3 linked regions of the Caenorhabditis elegans genome follow. The protein of the gene in region 2 interacts with the protein of the main gene of each other region in a biochemical or structural test. Each region holds a gene or a part of one and is shown on either strand. Other genes may lie near its edges. The genes, in order: baf-1, emr-1 and lmn-1.

Evidence for each region.
Region 1: the proteins of emr-1 (region 2) and baf-1 form a complex in vitro, tested with the Caenorhabditis elegans proteins (one study listed by BioGRID).
Region 3: the proteins of emr-1 (region 2) and lmn-1 form a complex in vitro, tested with the Caenorhabditis elegans proteins (one study listed by BioGRID).

The regions. Positions count from the first base shown.
Region 1 is NC_003281.10:9,465,712-9,468,604, reverse strand, and holds baf-1 (Barrier-to-autointegration factor 1), read right to left. Parts: upstream 1,142-2,893; 5' UTR 1,137-1,141; coding exon 1,014-1,136; intron 959-1,013; coding exon 812-958; 3' UTR 547-811; downstream 1-546. Other genes in the region: tag-342 (transcription initiation factor TFIID subunit 13 family protein), read right to left, coding at 39-210, 370-448; B0464.9 (putative protein phosphatase methylesterase 1), read right to left, coding at 1,543-1,680, 1,726-2,260, 2,310-2,419, 2,467-2,706, 2,761-2,832. UniProt on the Caenorhabditis elegans protein: DNA-binding protein which plays an essential role in nuclear envelope formation. Required for normal chromosome segregation during mitosis. Associates with the nuclear lamina via its interaction with LEM domain containing proteins emr-1 and lem-2.
Region 2 is NC_003279.8:1,840,462-1,843,775, forward strand, and holds emr-1 (Emerin homolog 1), read left to right. Parts: upstream 1-1,983; 5' UTR 1,984-1,998; coding exon 1,999-2,137; intron 2,138-2,211; coding exon 2,212-2,462; intron 2,463-2,514; coding exon 2,515-2,625; 3' UTR 2,626-2,761; downstream 2,762-3,314. Other genes in the region: egl-30 (Guanine nucleotide-binding protein subunit alpha), read left to right, coding at 345-427; nlp-12 (Neuropeptide-Like Protein), read left to right, coding at 2,946-3,000, 3,080-3,138, 3,196-3,314. UniProt on the Caenorhabditis elegans protein: Nuclear lamina-associated inner nuclear membrane protein that is involved in cell division, nuclear structure organization, maintenance of nuclear envelope integrity and nuclear envelope reformation after mitosis.
Region 3 is NC_003279.8:8,761,057-8,766,181, forward strand, and holds lmn-1 (Lamin-1), read left to right. Parts: upstream 1-1,984; 5' UTR 1,985-1,999; coding exon 2,000-2,097; intron 2,098-2,186; coding exon 2,187-2,271; intron 2,272-2,319; coding exon 2,320-2,433; intron 2,434-2,588; coding exon 2,589-2,822; intron 2,823-2,874; coding exon 2,875-3,915; intron 3,916-3,999; coding exon 4,000-4,128; 3' UTR 4,129-4,575; downstream 4,576-5,125. UniProt on the Caenorhabditis elegans protein: Major component of the nuclear lamina, a fibrous layer on the nucleoplasmic side of the inner nuclear membrane. Provides a framework for the nuclear envelope and probably also interacts with chromatin.

The sequences.
Region 1 (2,893 bases), on a different chromosome or scaffold from region 2:
AATGTTTGAATTATTTCGGAAAAAAAAAATCTGCTTACTTATTATCATAAACCTCTATAACATCGTTAATAAAGAGAACCAACTCGTTTTTCAGTATATTCACAACGAAATCTTCATTTTCAGAAAGTGGATTTTCGTCGTCTCCCGAAGTGAACATCAAACTCGTCACAACACTTCGAATCGATGGTTCAAGCTCATTTGAGTCATCTACTGAAAAAATAAATTCCGTGTGAATATTGTAACAAATCCGAAACTTTTTTGGAAACACACATTTGAAAATGTATTTTTCAGTATATTTTTTGAAAAAAAAAATTAATTTTTAACTTCGATAATTGTCGAATTGCCGCCAACCCGTGTAAAAATGCTCACATTTTATCTCCTGATCCAATGTTGGGCGAGCTTTTTCTGTGGTCTGTACCTTCTTTTTCACAGCCCTTTTCGGAGGCATCTGGAAATCACCATAGAATAGAAAATATTGTTTTTATTCCAAGTAAACTTTCGAACGACAACTTTCGTAATAAAAAACTTAGAAACACTCTTCAGGATCGTAGAAAATATTTTATTTGGAGGGAGAAAAATCGCAAAATTAAAGTCAAAAACAAAACAAGAACCGTAGTCCAAGACCACACGACAAGGGGGAAAACTTGGAAGTATGAGAAATATTTCAGAAACAGATTAATTTGAAATGGGGCATAGTCGCAAAGCGGAAAACGACTACACTGGAACAAATGGTGTTTTTCGAAGTGCAAATATGGCCATTGATGATTATAGAGGAGAATCAAATCGATGCTTAGCAGAAATATTGAGCAGTTTACATGAACTGATCTGCCCACTCGTTCAAACAATTGAACGCCGTCTTCGCGTGATTTGCAGTCACTCCAGCCGTCTCTTTCAGCCATTCGATAAACAAATCCTCGTCTTTCTTCAGAAGGAGATACTGTCCGAACAGTACGTAGGCCTGAAATTCAAATTTTAACATTGATCGAAAATTTGAGAAAAAAAAATCTACATACTTTATCGAAGCCTGCATCGGTGAGCTTGGTGCCATATGTTGGCCCGATCCCGGCGATGCATGTGACTTCTTTGTCGCCCATTGGCTCTCCGACGAACTCACGATGCTTAACAGAAGTCGACATGGTTTCTGAAACACAAAATAATTACATTCTTGAATTTGAAAATATTTTCGAAAATCGTAGTAAAAAGATAGTTGCGAAATAAAATAAAACTGGCAAGAATAGATAGGAAAATAGACAACGCTCCCTTTTAAACGAAACGCTTGGCGGCCACAGTTCAGCGGAGCGCGTTTGCATTCTGTCTGCGTCTCTCGATTTGCGCACTCTTTCACGAATACTTCTTTTTGACTGTAATTTTTTGGCATCTGCCTCTCCTCTAAAATAATCGATTCATTCGTATGTCGCTGACATTTATTATTCCCAAGAACTAAAAAGACGGGAAATTTAATCGATAATCTTTTCATATAAAATATTTTTTTCTTAACTTGTATAGAAATGTTGTGAAAATATTGGAAAACAAAATGAGCAATTATTGGTGATGACGTTTTCTGTATTCGAGAATCGCTGGATCTGGTGGTGATGCAAGGGCTGAGAATTTCGGTTGGGCAATTCTATGGCGGCAAGCGAATCTTCCGACTTCATCTGCAAGATTTTGTGGGCTATCTTCCTGCAAGACAATTTATATAAATTATTAATTGAGTATAACATTTACCTGAACACAATGTCCAACTTTTGGTAACACACAAGTCTGAAACTTTCCCTGCATTTGACCAATTGTGAGATCCCTGTCCAGCCGATCAACGCCCGCTAGAACAAGCATCTTCGGAACGGAACATCCCAAAAATTCTTTGGATAATCCTTCAAACCATCCTTTCCAGTACTGTTCTGTTGTTGTTAAATCAATTCGCCAAGTGTACTCGTGTTCCGATACTTCTCTAATTTGAGACGGCATTGAGACCCGTGCAGCTGTGGGATTCCTCGCTGTACCCGAAGAAAGGCACCAGTGAATGGCTTTTTCGATAGAAGGAAATGAAGAAGGCCTTGAATGTAAAAAATGAACCATTCCTCCAAGTGCTTCCATAGCGGAACCTTCGACAACATCAATGACAATGAGTGCAGCGACTTTTGAAGAAATCATCTTTGCATTCAATGTATGAATGGCCAATGCACCACCCATACTGTGTCCAACAATGCATACTGGTGAATCGTCTTCGCCGAAAATGTTCTTGAAGATTGCTCCAATATCTCTACAATATGTCGATAGAAGTTACAAAACTTATCAAAGCGAAACCTCACTTTATTTGGGTTTCTTTCGAAAGATCGTGCTCATCAGAACATTTAGTGTCGCCGTGTCCTCTTAAATCAGGTGCAACAACTCTGCATGATATTAAAGTTGCCAATTCTTTCTGAACAGAACCATTAATGACTGACACTAGAATAGAACAAAACATACCGCAAAACACGCCCATGTGAGGCCTGAATAACCTCCACCGTGAAGCAAATAGAAAATTGGACCTTCATTTCCCTTTATGTACACATTGAAAACATCTCCATCAATGTTTGCGTCCTTCTTTTCATCAAAAAAATCTGACCACGGTAGTTCAGACATTTCTCGTTTCTTTCCAGAAGTTGATGTGCTCGGAACTGGTGGTGGCCTTCCATGAGTGACCGCTTGACGAAGAAGATCATTTTGCTGAAATTGATATTTAATAAAACATCATCTTGTTAATTTTCACTATTAATGTACCCTGTGAGGAGTTGTGACATGTGACGTTTCCGATTGAAGATCCGGAAGAGTGTCTAATTTATCGTCGGACATGGTGATCTGTAAATTAATATATTTAAATATTTAAGACAATTAAATAGAAAGCTATATTTAT
Region 2 (3,314 bases):
TCGAGCACGGGGTTCTAGCCTTCTTCATTGAATTTTCGCGCTCCATTGACAATCGTGTCTGCCGGATAAAGTCGTGTACTCCACACGGATAAATAAATTCAGTTTTACAACTAGAATTGAGCCGCGACACGCAACGCGCCGTAAATCTACTCCAGATATGGGCGAGCTAAAATGGCCCAAACTCTTCCAGGGAAGCCAGAACTCCGTGTTCGAGAAAAGCACTTATGGTAGCCACGGGTTACCGATTCGGTGTCCCATGGACACTTAGAGTTGCTCATGGCGAATTACTAAAAAATTGTTTAAAAATATCTAAAATTTTCAAATAAAAGGGACCTCTATTTCAGATACGGAAAACATTCGGTTCGTGTTCGCCGCCGTCAAAGACACAATTCTACAGCATAATCTGAAGGAGTACAACTTGGTGTAAGAAGAAAGTCGCATGTCGGATTGGATGATGATGATGATGATCCATCTCTCTCTCTCTCTCTCTCTCACTGGGTCGAGTGAGACACCACCACCTAAACCTAGGAAACATTTTCTTGTACTCCTTCTAATTTTTGTTTTTTTTTTGCAAAAAACTTTCTCTCTCTGTCTGTCTCTCTCTCCATCTCTTCCTTATTTTCTTATTTTCTCATTTTCCTCCCTAAAACAAATGCTCCTCCCGAATATTCTTTCCATATAAGCACTTTTTTCTTCTTTTTTTGGATGTGCTTTCTGATATAGCTAATGCAAAAAGAAACAAAACTTCTCTCTCTCTCTCTCTCTCTCTCTTTCTGTCCTGTCTATACTCATTTATCATCACAAAAAGTCGGTTTTCACATCCTTCCCTACCCATCAACCTAGTTTCCGGCATGCAAAAACACCACCTAGTCTCTCTGTCATTCACAAAAAAAATTTTTTTTTTTGTCTTTTTTTTTCTCACAAAAATCCCCACAACAAACCGCCGCTTCTTTCGTTTTTTTTTGTCTTGATTCAAATTTTTATTTTTTTTACCTTTCTAACAATTCTAACCACAAAAAAAACACATTTTTCGTGTTGGACATAGTTTTTTTTTCCTCCTCAACTTCAATTTCTCCCACCCACATCCACATAATTCAAATATTATAACGTTTTTTTTGAGTTTTCACCATATTTTTTTCGAAAATTATCGAATGCTTTCTCCACTCCCCTCCCCAAACTTCACCCTTACCCTAAAAATCCCGTTTTTCATATTTTTTTCCCATCAAGCTAACCTCGAAATCCTCCCCCCCACCCTATTTTTTTCCATTTTTCATCGATTTTTTTTTGTCATTTTTCCTTCTTCTTCTTCTCAACCGAAAAAAAAACCATCCCCCATCCACACACCATCCCCCCTTCTTCTTCCCCATTATTGTATCGACTTTTTGCGATAGTTTTTAATTTCATATTTATTTCTATTAACATTGATCTAATTTTATGTAAATGTTTTGTGGACAAAAAGAAATGGTTGAAACTTTATTAAAAAAACCTCGTTTTCCGTATTTTATTTATGTATGATTCGAATCATGATTCAGGAAAAAAAGCGCGCGCGAAAATCATTGATTTAAATCTGCGGGCTGGAAATTCCTCCGTAAATCGACACAAAGCGATATCGTGACGAGACCCGTCCACTCTGCGTCTCTCGCCGTCGCGTTGTCTCTCAGCCAATTTGACTTGGGTTTGAAATTATTTTTTCATAATTTTTCATTTTCTCCTGTTTTTAATCAGTTTTTTGTAGAATTTTTCATTTTTTCGGTGAAAAATCAATGAATAAACCATTTTTTAAGTAGAAAATCGCCCTTCCTCAATTTTTGCTCGAAAATTGTCATTTTTTTGCCTTTTCCAGACCATCTCACAAAAAATGGGCATTTTTAATTTTTTTGGTAAAATGTTCAATAAATAAACGATTTTCTCAAGATTTTAGGTAGAAAATCGCTCGTTTTCCTCAATTTTTGCTTGAAAATTGTCATTTTTTGCTTTTTCCAGACCATCTCACAAAAAATGGACGTCTCCCAGCTGACAGATGCCGAACTACGCGATAGCCTTAAAAGCCACGGGGTTTCTGTTGGGCCAATTGTGGCGACGACCCGCAAGCTCTACGAGAAGAAGCTTATCAAGTTATCAGACGGAAGCATTAACAGTGAGGATTTGAATTTAAATTATTTATTAATTTCTAAATAACATTTTTAAAGTTTTCGAACCTCTAATTTCCAGATCAATCAAATCTCAACGACTCTCAATTCAACGAGGATTCATTGATCATCAGCTCGTCACCGAAGAAATCACCGCCACAACGAGTTTTCCAGAACGTGTCAGCTGCAACAGCGGCAGCTACTACCTCTCCCGAATCGGACAGCGACGATTGCGAGGAGTCGATGCGATACTTGACGGAAGAGGAAATGGCCGCCGATCGGGCATCGGCTCGTCAAGCTCAGAGCAACAAAGGAGGATTCTTGGGAAGCACGGTGAGTTTTTCGCCCTTTTTCTGGCAATAAAAACTTATTTTCTATTTTCCAGATCACATTCACAATTCTCTTCGTCTTCATCGCCGTCTTCGCCTACTTCTTGATCGAGAACGCCGAGCAGTTGAAGCTCGTGGCCGAGACGAATCCGGAGGATACTATTTAAATTATTTTTTAAATTTCTATTTTTTTCTTTGACTGTTGAAATCGCTATTTTTACCCCTCTCCCTCCCCCATCACTCTTTTTCTTTAAATCCTTTCACCCCATTTTCATCACTTCATTTGGATAAACGCTATGAATCTCTCTCTCAGTTTTTACGAGCCCATCAACTCCAGAAGCTAACCAAAATGGTAGGGGGGAAAGGCGTGGTCCCCCCGGCTCCGTTGGGAAATATGACGAATCTGTAGTTTACTGATGGGGGGGGGGGTGGTATAAAAGCCCGACACCTCGACTCGGCGAAACTTATTTCAATTGCCTCCGACAAAATGCTCCGCCACCACAGCTGCGCCCTGCTCATGCTCATCCTCGTATTCGTGGAGGGTTCGTCGTTTTAATACTATTTTTAGGCCAATTTTTAGGCCAATTTTTTTTCTAAAAATTACTTCCGTTTTTTTTACAGTTTTTGCAACACAGTCGCCGACGTTTGACCGTCAGGATCGCGATTACCGGCCACTTCAGGTAGGGAACAAGACATTTTAAAAAAAGTTAAAAATATTATACACACATAAATTGCAGTTCGGCAAGCGAGATGGGTACCGTCCATTGCAGTTCGGAAAACGCGACTATCGGCCTCTCCAGTTCGGAAAGCGAAGCAGCGGCAGCTCTGGACCAGTTGTGCTCGAGCCAATCTGGGA
Region 3 (5,125 bases), 6.9 Mb from region 2:
AAAAAACCGGACGCACTGCGTCCGGTTTTGGGGTAGGTTTCCACGGCGGCCGACAATTTCCGATTTTCGCCACTCACTATACTTAATCAGCAATTTTATAGTGAGTGGCGAAACTCGGAAATTGTCGGCCGTCGTGGATAGCTACCCCCAACCGGACGCATGTGCGTCCGGTTCGGACGACCGGACGTCCGGTTGTACAGCCCTAATTTTATATACTCAATTGTTAATCTGCATATTACCAAGAGACATGTTTTGCCCAAGTTCCTCTCACATTTAATCGATTCTCTTGTTTTTTCATTTCAATCTTTTTAGGGATCAAATGTGTTTTAGAGATGCAGGTGTCTAGAGAAAATTGTTTTCCTACTCTTTCATTTCGTATTCTTTTCATTTCACCAAACTTCTCTCTCGCGGCTAATCTCGCCTTCATAATAGAAATTTAGCTTCTAATTTTCGTGCTATACTAATATTCTACCACATGGTCACATCAAATGAGATAAAAACTGTCAACGCGCCAAAATGACACTCTCCCATTGATTTATTGCCCTTTGTCTCTGTGCGTCGACGCTCTAGTGCTCTTTCCAGATGTTGTTTCCTTCTCTTCTCAGCCTCCTTCTCTAGAATTCATTCATTCTGTGTCAAACACCAAAGAAGAACGACATTGTCTTCTCTCACACAAGACTGCTTATGATTTCTCGCTTCCTTCATCTGGCTCTGAATATGTCTTTCAATGGTACATGTTTATTGTTAATCGCCGAGTTTCAAAATTTACACTATCCATATAAAAAAGCGGCAAAACCTCAAAATTTCAGATGTTTGACCACTTCTCTAATACTCTCATCATGCCTCTCCATTATTCGTTCTATTTAACCCTGTACTGGCATGTTGCCAAGTTGTGTATATGTATGTTGTTTACCATATGCACACGTCTTTCCTGCTTCTCTACTTCTCTAGTCATTGGGACCGTGAGCATAAAAAACGAAAGAAAAACTTGAAAATAGTGCGCGAAACGGGAGAGATCAGAGATGAAGGGGTACGCAGCGCTCACTCGCGCGACTAAAGAGAGAGCATTGGCCTGGGCCATTGCCCTTCGAAACAAGATCGAGCGTTTTTCATCGTTTTTGAACCCTCGAAACTCCTACATATCACCTCTCATGCAACTTTTTTACACTAATTTGTGTAATTTGATATCCTATCTTATAGTTTATCAGGTCATTTCTCTTTTGTAGTAGTCCGAAAGTTTTGATTGATCGAATTTCGAAATTCTCCCTAAATTTTCGAAATTTTGTTACTTTCAAATTGACGCGACATGGACGGTCAATCAAAACCAAACAAGTATGCGAGAAATTCCCTTTTCTCTCTTTTTCTCTAATCATTTCAGTCCCATCTGCCTAGTTCTATCGGCAATTTGTGGAAGTGCGCAGATGATTTTTGAAGGCGAGGTGATAACGCCCTGCTAAAGCATTCTTATTCACGAGAGTTTCAAAAAACTATTGAAACGAGGTAAATCTTAGTTGAGTATACCTTGACAATTGTAGTTCTTTGCCGAGTTGCCTAATGTTTGAATTCAACGCTACTTACTGACTATGTTTATGCTTTTGTTTACGTCACTCTCACAAATGTTCCTTATTTCTCTACTATATTTCTTTCTGTTGAAACATTTAAAAAACGAAACAACACACATCTATGTGGAATACTGCCATCTGCCGATTTTGAGGTCACTTGGCGCGCCGTAACTCGCAAATAACCTAACAGCGCCAGATTTTTCGACAAACACACGCTTTCCGAAGTGGTATACACAACGGCCGTGTCCGCATGTTTGCCACACTTCTTTTGAGACAGAAAACTTTTGTTGTATAAAAATTTTATCACAAGAAATATCAAAATGTTGAGTCACGTTCGTGTGGCGCCTATGACGTTTCCTCTCTTCTCTTACATCTCTCTTTGTCTATTTCTGAAACTAAATCCAATATAATTAACTCTTCAGAAAGCAGCGAGAAAAATGTCATCTCGTAAAGGTACTCGTAGTTCTCGTATTGTTACGCTAGAGCGCTCAGCGAATTCGTCGCTAAGCAACAATGGAGGAGGCGACGATTCATTGTGAGTTTTTATTTTGCTTCTCTAGTTCCTGCACTCATAAACGCATTTCTTGTGTTATCTAAAAAAAAACTCGATGAAATGCTTTTCAGTGGCTCAACGCTTCTAGAAACTTCACGTCTTCAAGAGAAAGATCATTTGACTTCACTCAACAGTCGTCTTGCCACTTACATCGACGTGAGTTTTAATTTGGAAAGTATTCATATTTGAAAGTACACTTTTCAGAAAGTTCGTCAATTGGAGCAAGAGAACAACAGACTCCAGGTTCAAATTCGCGACATCGAAGTTGTTGAAAAGAAAGAGAAGTCAAACTTGGCCGATCGCTTCGAGGCGGAAAAGGTACACTTTGTTTATATTCTGATCGCCAAAGGTGTTCTGTGGGAAACTGATGCGGTGGTCTTATTATTCTCGCCGCGGTAAAGTAACAATGCAAATATAAGCTCTCGTTTTGGACGAATGATAAGTGTTGGAATATAGATTATTTGTATTTTCAGGCTCGTCTCCGTCGTGCCCTCGATTCGGCTCAAGATGAGCTCGCAAAATACAGGATCGAGTATGACGCTGCAAAGGTTGAAGTAAAGAAGTTGAAGCCACAAGTCGAAAAACTTGAGAGAGAACTCGCTGGAGCTGAGGAACAAGCCCTCCATGCCCAATCTATTGCTGATCAAAGTCAAGCAAAACAGAAGACGTTGCAGGCACGCAACGATAAATTGGTGGTGGAGAATGATGTAAGAAATTTTAATTTTATCAAAAGTAAATGTTCAATTTTGTTGTTTTCAGGATCTCAAAAAGCAGAACATCACTCTTCGTGACACCGTAGAAGGACTCAAGAAAGCCGTTGAAGATGAAACTCTTCTCCGAACAGCCGCCAACAATAAAATCAAGGCTCTGGAAGAAGATCTCGCTTTTGCTCTTCAACAGCACAAGGGAGAACTTGAAGAAGTTCGTCACAAGAGACAGGTCGACATGACAACCTACGCCAAGCAGATTAATGATGAGTATCAATCTAAGCTTCAAGATCAAATCGAAGAGATGCGTGCTCAGTTCAAGAACAATTTGCATCAAAACAAAACAGCTTTCGAAGATGCCTACAAAAACAAGCTCAATGCTGCTCGTGAACGCCAAGAGGAGGCTGTATCCGAAGCAATCCATCTTCGTGCCCGTGTTCGTGACTTGGAGACATCAAGCAGTGGAAATGCTTCGCTCATCGAACGTCTTCGTTCAGAGCTCGACACTCTGAAGAGATCGTTCCAAGAGAAGCTCGACGACAAGGATGCTCGAATTGCTGAACTTAATCAAGAGATCGAGCGCATGATGAGCGAGTTCCACGATCTTCTTGATGTTAAAATCCAATTGGACGCCGAACTCAAGACCTACCAAGCTCTCCTTGAGGGTGAGGAGGAGCGTCTCAATCTTACTCAGGAGGCGCCACAAAACACTTCAGTTCATCACGTCTCGTTTTCATCCGGAGGAGCAAGCGCTCAGCGCGGAGTGAAGCGTCGTCGCGTTGTCGATGTAAATGGAGAGGACCAAGACATTGATTATCTCAACCGTCGCTCCAAACTCAACAAAGAGACTGTTGGCCCAGTTGGAATCGACGAGGTTGATGAGGAAGGAAAGTGGGTCCGTGTTGCAAACAACTCTGAAGAAGAACAATCCATCGGAGGATACAAGTTGGTGGTCAAAGCTGGAAACAAAGAAGCCTCCTTCCAATTTTCATCTCGTATGAAGCTCGCTCCACATGCTAGCGCCACCGTTTGGTCTGCGGATGCTGGTGCCGTTCACCACCCACCAGAAGTCTACGTTATGAAGAAGCAACAGGTTGGTCAATTATTTTAAAATATTTCTGTCTTACTTTCATGAATAGAAGAAACAAAAAATGTTCATTGTAATTACAATTTTCAGTGGCCAATTGGAGATAACCCATCAGCTCGTCTTGAGGATAGTGAAGGAGACACTGTTTCTTCTATCACCGTTGAATTCAGCGAATCATCGGATCCATCGGACCCAGCCGATCGTTGTTCCATCATGTAATTGAGAGTCGATATTACATCAATCCATTTGGACCTCATTTTTACATCTATCTCTTCCTAATATTCCTTCTTGTTGTGTTGTCCTCGAGAGTTACACTGATCCTCTTCTTTTTCTCTGTCCCTCCTACGTTTTAACCGTGTTCTTGTTGTTAATATACTAGAATATGGCAATAATTTTGTTTTAAGGAAATCTCGAAATTTCACTGCCCTCTTTCCAAGAACACACCTTTCCCTAAGACTAGATCCAATTTCCATTTTTTTGAATTCATTGAGCTCACCGTCAAAATGTAAAATAGCTCGTTTTTAACCATTTGCAACAAAAGCATCAATCAAACTCCCTGTCTTCCAATGATGTTTCTTCCAACTTACCGATCGGTGTCGCTCATTAAAATTTCAAAGTGTATTTCGTTTATTTAACTTCAAAAACATGAAATATTTCTTTTCTTTCTTTACAACTCGTCTATCGTCTATTTTTTTAGGTTTATTCCATACATTTCTAAGATGGTTATGACATATAATTAGGATATGCAAGTACCGATTAAGCCAACTGTTTTTCTTTTCGAATCTATTCACTATTGAGCTCAAATGAGCACATGACAGTCGGTTAAGTGAGGTCATTGCATCACACAATAATAGAGGAGAACGTATTGAATACGGTAATTGGTTCGAATTTCTTGACAAAAATAAGCCCGTTTAGTTCAAAAACTGTAAATCTAAACAAGCCTCGATTCGAAAACTCGTAAAATCTCAGAATTAATACGCCTTTTTCACACCCCTTTTGTCAAAGCGGCTGTGGAAAAGTCAAACATTTGCGATTAGTTTGCTGGCGTTGTCCAATTGTCGAAATGTAAAATGAGATGGACATTTTTATGGGAAATCATCAAAGAGAATTGTTACGGTATCTCATTCCGACATACAGTAAAACTGATAAATGAGAAATAAACTGAGGTTACTGATCGAATAGTAGGTTTGAAGCAAGAAGCTTATTTTATTTATTG